Oryctolagus cuniculus: one gene and its partner. The protein of the gene in region 1 purifies or fractionates together with the protein of each later gene. This does not show direct contact. Links are inferred from orthologs where the notes say so. Each region holds a gene or a part of one and is shown in the gene's direction. Other genes may lie near its edges.

Region 1 (4,117 bases):
GTGACTTGCATACAGGGGGTATCTCAAAACAAGAGGTGGGAAAGTGGAATTGAGAGGTAAGTTTATTTTGGCGCGAAATGTCTTGAAATCCATGCATGGTTTTCTCATAGCATGCATTTTTGTCCACTCACTGCCCCTACAGGGACTGGCACACACAGCAGGTGCTCAGTACAACTTAAGTGAAGAAACGTGAGGCCCTAACAGCCAGCCCTGCTGGAGCACTTCACCACTTCCCTTGTCCCGCCTCCCCACCGTGCAAGATCAGGAAACTGAGGCCTGGCGAGGTGACGTCAGCCCCTGGCCAACGGCAGCAGTGGGCAACGTCCGGGCCGGGATTCGAACCCGGGTCTTCTCCCCACAGCCAAGGCCCGCCGACCCTTCCTACCTTGCTGGGCGGCAGCTGCAGCGAGGCAGACAGGTGTGAGGCACAAGGCAAGTGCTCGACAAGGAACGCCGCTCCTCGCCCACCACCTCGAGTCGGCCTCCTGGGCTAGGCCCCTACTCGCCCCCTTCGCGGCCATCGCTGGCCACCCGCGTCTCCGCCGGCCTCTGAGCCTTCGCAGGCGGCGCCTACCGGAAGTCCCGCCTCCTCCGCGCGCCCCGGAGCGCAGCGACAGCCAAGCCTGCCAATGAGCGGCGCGCCGTGGCGGACGCAGACCAATAGGCGCGCGCGCCGGGGGGGCGTGTCCGGGCCGCGGGCCGGAGCGGGTCGTGCGCGCTGAGGAGGAGCCGCCGCCGTCGCCGTCGCTGCCGCCGCCGCCACCGCTACCGAGGCCGAGCGGAGCCGTTAGCGCCTCGCCGCAGCCGCCGCCCGCACGTCCCGGAGCAGCCCCGGGCCCGCCCGCCCGCGACCAGGTGAAGCAGGGGGGCTTTTGGAGGCGCCCGGCAGGGTAGGCCGCGGCAGGCCTGCGCTCGCTTGGCCTGGCCTGGCCGCGGGCGCCCGCGGGCCTGCACCGGTCGAGGCCCAGGCCGCGCCGGGGCCTGGAGGGGACGCGCGCGGGCCGCGCCGGGCGGGGCGGGCGGGGGCTGGCCAATGTGGGCGCCGGCGGCAGGCCCCGGGCCGGATTCCTGGGGCGCCGCGAGGGGAACGCGGCGTGGGCACGCGCCTGGGGGCCGGGCTCCGCGGCCGCGGCTCCGGTAGCCTTGGAAGCCCGGGATCCGGGGGCGGGGGAGTGAGGAGAACGCTTTGAGCGCGCAGAGGTCACGGCCCACCGGCTCGCTCCCCTGGGAAATCCCACAGATTCTTTTGTGGCCGTTGTCAGAGGACCGGCGGCCGGCCCGCGGCCCTTTTATAAGTGTGCAAACCCCTTGATCTGCAGGGGAGCCCTTGAGGCGGAAAAAACGTATTTTTTTTGAGCGCCATCTCTTAACAAAGCTGTTCGTGGGGCGTGGGACGTTTGTTTTTGTAAAATGTGTGTGTGTTTAGAACACGAAACTGCACGCAGTTGAACAATGGATGGATGCTCGTCCCTCCTTTTCCGGTGCCCGCTGTGGCGAGGCTTATTAAAACGGTCTTTGATACCTACTGTGTGCCCGGCAGGTGGAGAGGAACTTGGGCACGGCCGTCCCTGGAGGGACAGAGCCGCCGCCGCATCTCCCGCTGAGTGAGTCCTCACGTGGGATTTGGACGGCCAGTGTTCCAGAAATGGGGATGGGATTGACTCCGCAGCGTCCGCACTCGGGATGGTTGGGGTCAGGTCTTGGTTGGCCGGGGCTGCTCTGTGCGTTGTGGGGAGTTGAGAGCATCCCTGGCTTTTACCCTTTAGCGACCCCGCCTCTCCCCTCCCCCAGCGCAAGCATCCAAAATGTCTCCAGACATTGCCAGATGCCTTCCCCCCCAGGGGGTGGGGTCTCTCTTGCTGTCTCACTAAAGTGTCTGATCTTCCAGGAAAAGTTCCTCCAGCCCTCTCTCTGATCCTTTGAGAGGTGTTCCCAAGACCTTGAGATGAACTGTGTTGGGCTTTAGCTACAGAATAGTGAGGAAGGCGGTATGGTGCTGGCCCCCCTAGCGTTGTGCGTGGCCTGGCGCCTGGCAGGAGTCAGCGCCAGGGTTTATTGAGAACTGACTGTGCTTGACTCCAGCCCTCCAGGTAGGTGCTGTTGTAATTTCCATTTTAGAGATGCAGAAACCGAGGTTCAGCTGCGTGGCCTGATGTGCTCTTCTGCTAATGTGGCCAAGGTGGGGTTTGAATTCAGGCTCTCAGACTCAATCTTAACCACAGGGGCCCAGCAGGTGGTGTTTCTGGGGATTCCATTCAGCTGTCATCGAACCGCCACAGGCCAAGCTCTGGCCTGATACCTGCTTTAAAACTACCATTTTGAGGTCCATGGAGAGACTGAGAAGCCTAACATCTCTAAGTGTGCAAGGAAATTGTGTTGAGGTTGAAGCACTGGTTTTGAGGGAGCAGAGTTTTACTTTAGCTGTGTTGAGTCTGAGGCCATAGCGCAGCAAGGGGAAAATGAGCCGGTTAAGAAATTCCTGGCTTCTGCTGCTTGCTTCGCGGCTGTTCTTGCTCCCTGCTGCCATGTCTAGCAAAGTTGGCTTTCCACACTCCCTTGCCAACTGTCTTCTGTCAGGGCAGGTCCGGCAGTGCCACTCCTGATTGCAAATTTTTGACCTGAAAAACAAATTTTCTTGGCCTCTTCAGGTGACTTAAAGGATAAAAATCAGGGCTCCTTAGGCTTGGCTGCCTGTTCTTTCACACTCAGCCCTCCCTCCCTTCCTGACATCATTGTACCAGTGCCCCAGAGTCCAGGCCTCCCTGCTGTCGCGCTCTCTGCCTGGGAGATGCCACTGTCTTCCAGCTAAGGATCACTTCCTTGTGCTCCATGCCCCAGCTCAGAGCCCACTCCCCGTTCCTTCGCCCCGCACCGGCATCAACTTGCCCTTCCCATTCAATTTATGGAATTCACCGCTGAATGGTGAGAGAAGCGCAGTGCCCTCCTTCCGCCCCTAGGTGGCAGGCCTGAAACGGCAGGCCCGACAGGAGGCTGTGGGTCAGAAGACAAGGAAACCAGCGGGTAGAGGGGAAGTGAGTCTTGTTTCTCTCCTTTGAATAACTTTCCCTGTGCCACTGCGTCCTGGGCCCTGTGCTAGGCTCTGGGGAGATGATGATGTACACTGTGTGTGTGTGTGTGTGGATCATCTCAGCTCACTAGCCAATGCTGTGACAATTAGGCTCTGGCTGACACAGAGGCCACAGAAGAGGGAGCTGTTAACCCAAGCCGAGGTGGGCACAGACAGCCCAGACTGCCTGCTGGAGGAGATGAAGAGAGAGAGGTGAGGAGGAGTTAGCCAGGGGGAGGGGCTTGGGCATGGATGGGGCCTGTCTCAGCTTGTCCAGGTACACATAGGGTCTGGGACTTTAGGGCAGGAAGGGTGAAGGGAGCCGTGGCGGGGCTACTGCTGCCACTTGCGGGCAGAGGGTTTGGCTGCCACCCTCTGTGGCAGGCCTGGGACACTACTGAGCAGTGTTGGTCACAGAGGGAGTCATTCTGCACACAGAGAGCTTTGTCCCGCCCAGAAAAAGCTGGAGGTGGGCAGAGCTCAACGTCAGAAAACCAATTAGGGGACAGTTGGTTTCCTTTAGAGCATGGGTGAGGGACCTTTTTTTCCCCCCACAAAGGTCCATTTAGATGTTTATAATATTCACAAGCAATACAAAGTTATCAACTTAAAAATTAGCCTGCTATAGACTATTGGATTTCAAGTCCCACCTGTGGTTGCCTTGGCAGGGTCAGATCAAATGGTTTCACAGGCCTTATACAGCCCTTGGGCTAGACATTGCCCACCCTTGCTTTAGGTCCAGAAAGCTGGTGATGTGATCCAGGGCTGCAGTGCTGAGACAGAGAGGGGACACTGGGGGGAAGGACACAGGGCTCATGGGTTTGGAGGTGTGGAACATGAGGGAGAGAAGACTGGCTGACTCTGGGTCTGAGTGTGACCCTGGAAGCGAGTCAGTCACTGAGAGAAGCCAGAAAGCCCCAGAAGGAGCACTTCAGTATGTGAGTGGGCAAGCAAGCATATCATTAGCAGGGAAGGGGCCACAGGTAGTAGCTGCGTCTGCACTGCAGGGCCGTTCACGCCCATGCTCGCCTGTCGTCCTCCACCCAGCAC
Region 2 (4,085 bases), on another chromosome or scaffold:
AGAGCTGCCCCCTCCCCCACTGCCCAGACGGGGTGCGACCGCCCACGTGTCGCCCCTCGCCCAGCCTAGTCCTTCTCTCGGGCTCCCGAGCCCGCGGATCCGGAACGAGTTGGTCAAAGACGAGGGAAGGGATCTGGGCGGATCCGCTTCCCCCTCCCCAGGAACGGGCGAGCGGGAGGGACCGCCGCCCCCTCCCAGAAGCTCCCGCCCCTCGCTTCCCCCAGCGCGGAGCGGAAATTACCCCCTCCCCCCGCGGGTCTGACCTGGGGACGTGGGCGGGGCTTCGCGCTGGGCCCCCGCCCTCCGCCCCTCTCCCGCCTTCCCGAATCCTGCGCCCCAAACAAAGTTCCGAGACCCAAACCCAGCGCCCGCCGGAGTCGTGGCGGCGTCCCGGGGCAGGGTGCGGGCGCAGGGGACTCCACCTGTCTGCCCCCGCCTTGGGGGGCTGGGGGCCCGCTCGGGTCTCCACCCGATTGCACCCCGCCTGCGCTCCCCTACTCGGTCCGCTTGGGTTAGCCGGAGCTGCCACCCGGTTCCCTCGGTCCTGGGGTCGTCCCAGCCGGAGCTGCGCGGTCCCCCGGGAACCCGAACATTATCATTTAGTGGCTAGTACCCCGACACGGGCCCGCGCTTCTCCAGGGGTGTCCGGAACACTATTTCCTGTGAGCTCCTGCTAACCCGCGGCGATCCCCCGTGTTCGCAGGGCCCCGGGTCCTGGATCCCAAGAGGTGGGGGAGGCTCGCGGGGCTGGGGCGGGGAAGGGAAGACCTCCCCCGCCCCCGCTTCGAAACCTAAGGAAAAGGCGCCTTTCTTTTGAAATCACCGGCTCGTGCGACCCCCTCCTGAAGACCCCAGAGTCCCCGGCTTCTCTTTGTCTGTCTTGGTCGTCCCCCGCCTGTCAGTCGCTAGCAGTTAACCGGGTGGGGTAGGCAATCCCGCGCCCCAAAACCAGTGGAAAAATGACCACACGTTTCGCCCCAAAGACGGGAGATTGGGGGCTCGACCACCCTCCCCCAGTTCAGGCTGGGGTAGAGGCAGGGGGAAGGGTGGGGGCGGGGCGCATCCCCGGGGGCCAGGTTCCTGCCAAGGGGGAGGGGGCGGGCAGAGCCTCGGGAGCGTTGCACACCCACCCCCCGCCGCCGCCGCCCCAGTTCCCTCTGAGCGTGAGCCGAGTGCCCCCTCCCTGCCCCCGGGAGGGAAGCTGTTGGGCCGGGCCGGGTTTTCTGGGCAGTGGGGCCCTGTGGCGTCGGGGGTCTTCCCCTGCAGGGTGGGTGGGGGCTGTCACCACGTGGCTTCGGCCTTTTTTTTTTTTTCCGCTCCATTTTTTTTTCAAGTCGGTTTTATTTAGAGGCGGCGCCAGGGCGGCCGCGGAGAAACGTGACACGCCAGCCCGCTCGCAGGGGTTTCGGAGCGAAGGCGAGGAGCAGCGCCGCGCCGTCCGCCTCCCAGCGCGCCGCGGGCACTTTCCGGGCTCCCCCGAACTCCGCCGCGACCTCCGCGCGCCCTCCTGCCGCCCTCCGCGCCCGGGGCTCCGGGCACACTCCCGGGCGGGGTGCACACAAAGTTTGCGGCCGCCGCCGGCCTCCCCGCGCTCGGCCTAGGCGGCTCGCCGCCCGCCCGCCCGCTCGGCCTCGCCCGGCACCGCGTCCTGCCCCGCCGCCGCCACCATGAACAAGCTATACATCGGCAACCTCAACGAGAGCGTGACCCCCGCGGACTTGGAGAAAGTGTTTGCGGAGCACAAGATCTCCTACAGCGGCCAGTTCCTGGTCAAATCCGGCTACGCCTTCGTGGACTGCCCGGACGAGCATTGGGCGATGAAGGCCATCGAAACTTTCTCGGGTAAGCGCGCGGGCCGCCTCCCCGAGCCCCGGGCCGGTTCCCGTACAACGGAGGCCTGTGTTCCGAACCCCCCCCTTCTCCGCCGCCCCGGCCGCCAACTGCTCGTTCAGCGAGCATGCGGGGCCCGGCCTCGCCGCTGACCCTCGACCTGCCGCCTTCGACGCCCCCGCCCCCTCCCGGGAATATTCGGGATTTCCCCACCCTCGGTGGGCTGCTCGGGCTCCCTTCAATCTCCACTCCCATCGCCGGGGCTGCAGCCCCCCTCGGCGGTGGCGGGGGGTGGGTGGTGGTCCGAGGGCCACGAGACGACCCCGTCTGGGCGCTCGCTGCATGTTCAGCCCCTCCCTAGCAGCCGCCAGACGGCCCCCCAGCTGGAGCACCCTCGCTCCCTTCCTAACCCTAGGCCTTCCCGGGCGCGGAAGGGGTCCCCGCCCGATCCCCGAGCTCCCCGCCGTCCGTGGGGATCACAGCCCTCGGGCAAGACTGGGGAGGAAGGGGATCCCGCCTCCCGCCCAGGGCCCGGGGCTTGAGCCATTTTGATTTGAAAGTGGGGCGTGAGCGGTGGCGCGGCGGCGCGGGTCGCCATGCTGCTAACCGAGACGCCGAGGCTGGGCCGAGAGGCGCGCGGCGCGGGACCCTCCCCGCCAGGCCCCGCGCGGCTCCCCCGGGGCCTCGGCGTTGCAACCCGCCCGACAGGTGACCGCCCTGCCGCCCGAAGCCCTTGTCCTACGCGCCACAGTAAAATAAAGTTTGATTCTGCACCCCCCCTCCCCGAGCAGCGGGAAGTCCTTTCTCTGCTGGCTGCGGCTCCGCACATCTGGGAGCCGAACGGGTAGAGCGCCCGCACAGATCACCTCGAACCTTTCCCGGTTCGGGTTCTCCTAGCGATTCACGCCACCAGCTCCGTGGTGACGCAAAGCAGAAATTAAGAGAACATAATAACGAATTGATGGCATCCGGCTGCGGGCGCCACTGACTTGCTTCCGAGGAGAAATCGGGTCCCAGGAACTTGAATTTCCCGAGAGCCCCCTGCCTCAACACCCCTGCCCCTGTTCACGCGCTCACGCTAATTTTTTTTTTTAATCTTTAGGAAAAGTAGAATTACAAGGAAAACGCTTAGAAATTGAACATTCGGTTCCCAAAAAACAAAGGTAGGAAAGAGCGCTTCTCTTCTCTGGGGGGGCGGGGGGAAGGGGACAGAGGTTGGCGAGAGGCCGTGGTCGGGGGTCCACAGCGTCCCCGGGGGCTGAGACCTGGCGTTGGCTTCTCATCCCTCGACTCGGGATGTTGGGGGCTGGGAGGCAAGACTGGAGATCTTGTCATGGGTGGTTTACAGCTTGGAAAAGCAGGAGAAGTTGGGGATGGGGTGGGCAAACAGGCGGTACCTGCAGACTCACAGGGGAGAGAATCAAGCAGAGGGAAGCACCTCGTGGGGCTTGCCTCAAGTGTGGGGCCATTTTGGTGCGGAAGCTTAAAATCTTAGTTCAGGCTTCCTGCAGGCCCCATTTTCCGTCAGGCAGGGTGGTTCGGAAGTGGACTTAGGGGATCCCTTTCTACTCCACTCTGGTGGAGACACAGGTCTGCCCCGCGCACCACCACCCCCCCCCCCCGCCCCGCAGAATTCCCTTACCCTTTATTTATATTTCTGCAACAGGCAGAGACTTCCTACAGACTGCCGCCCCCAGTTCCTCCCACCCCCTCCCCACCCCCACCCCCACTGGCTTTCCCTGAGAATATGCTTTGGCCCTCCTGTCCTGTGGCGGCCCCCACCCCGGCTCCTGCAGCCCATTGTTACCAGGGGGCCATCTGGGGTGAGAGCTTTGTGTTAGGGCTGTGAGCTGGGGCTCTTTGGAGGATCTAGAACTCCGTGGATGAATGGTGTGTGTGTGTGCGCGCGCGCGGGCTTGCGCGCACCCGTACTCCTTATCCTTGGGCCAAACAGGGTGCTTTCTGAGAATTCATGGCGGATTTCGCATCTTTCATTGAACTCTGAAATCTCGAGTTGAGCTCTGGCTAAGGAAGTGTAAGCACAGCCTTCTCTAGTTTCCCAAGCGTGGTGACAGTACCGAGTCTTCTGCTGTTGCCGGCTGGGTTGGCAGTGGCCCCCTGGAAGGCTTCCATCCCCCTTCCCCCTTCGGAAGCAGTTCTTTTTCTAAGTGGGAAGGGGGTGTGTTTGGGGGTGGCTTTGCTTTTAGAGGGGTGGTTAAGAGGATCTCCAAAGTTTAACCAGAGATAGAAATCTG

Evidence for each region. The genes of interacting proteins can lie anywhere in the genome.
Region 2: the proteins of ELAVL1 (region 1) and IGF2BP1 purify together in Homo sapiens (co-immunoprecipitation; 3 studies listed by BioGRID and IntAct, with this or other methods). This does not show direct contact. The link is inferred for Oryctolagus cuniculus from reciprocal best matches to the Homo sapiens genes ELAVL1 and IGF2BP1.

What each region holds. Positions count from the first base shown.
Region 1 is NW_027208201.1:4,186,154-4,190,270, reverse strand, and holds the start of ELAVL1 (ELAV-like protein 1), read left to right. Parts: upstream 1-1,314; 5' UTR 1,315-1,452; coding exon 1,453-1,604; intron 1,605-3,178; coding exon 3,179-3,280; intron 3,281-4,117. UniProt on the Homo sapiens protein: RNA-binding protein that binds to the 3'-UTR region of mRNAs and increases their stability.
Region 2 is NC_091448.1:25,185,141-25,189,225, forward strand, and holds the start of IGF2BP1 (insulin-like growth factor 2 mRNA-binding protein 1), read left to right. Parts: upstream 1-1,280; 5' UTR 1,281-1,667; coding exon 1,668-1,842; intron 1,843-2,932; coding exon 2,933-2,993; intron 2,994-4,085. UniProt on the Homo sapiens protein: RNA-binding factor that recruits target transcripts to cytoplasmic protein-RNA complexes (mRNPs). This transcript 'caging' into mRNPs allows mRNA transport and transient storage.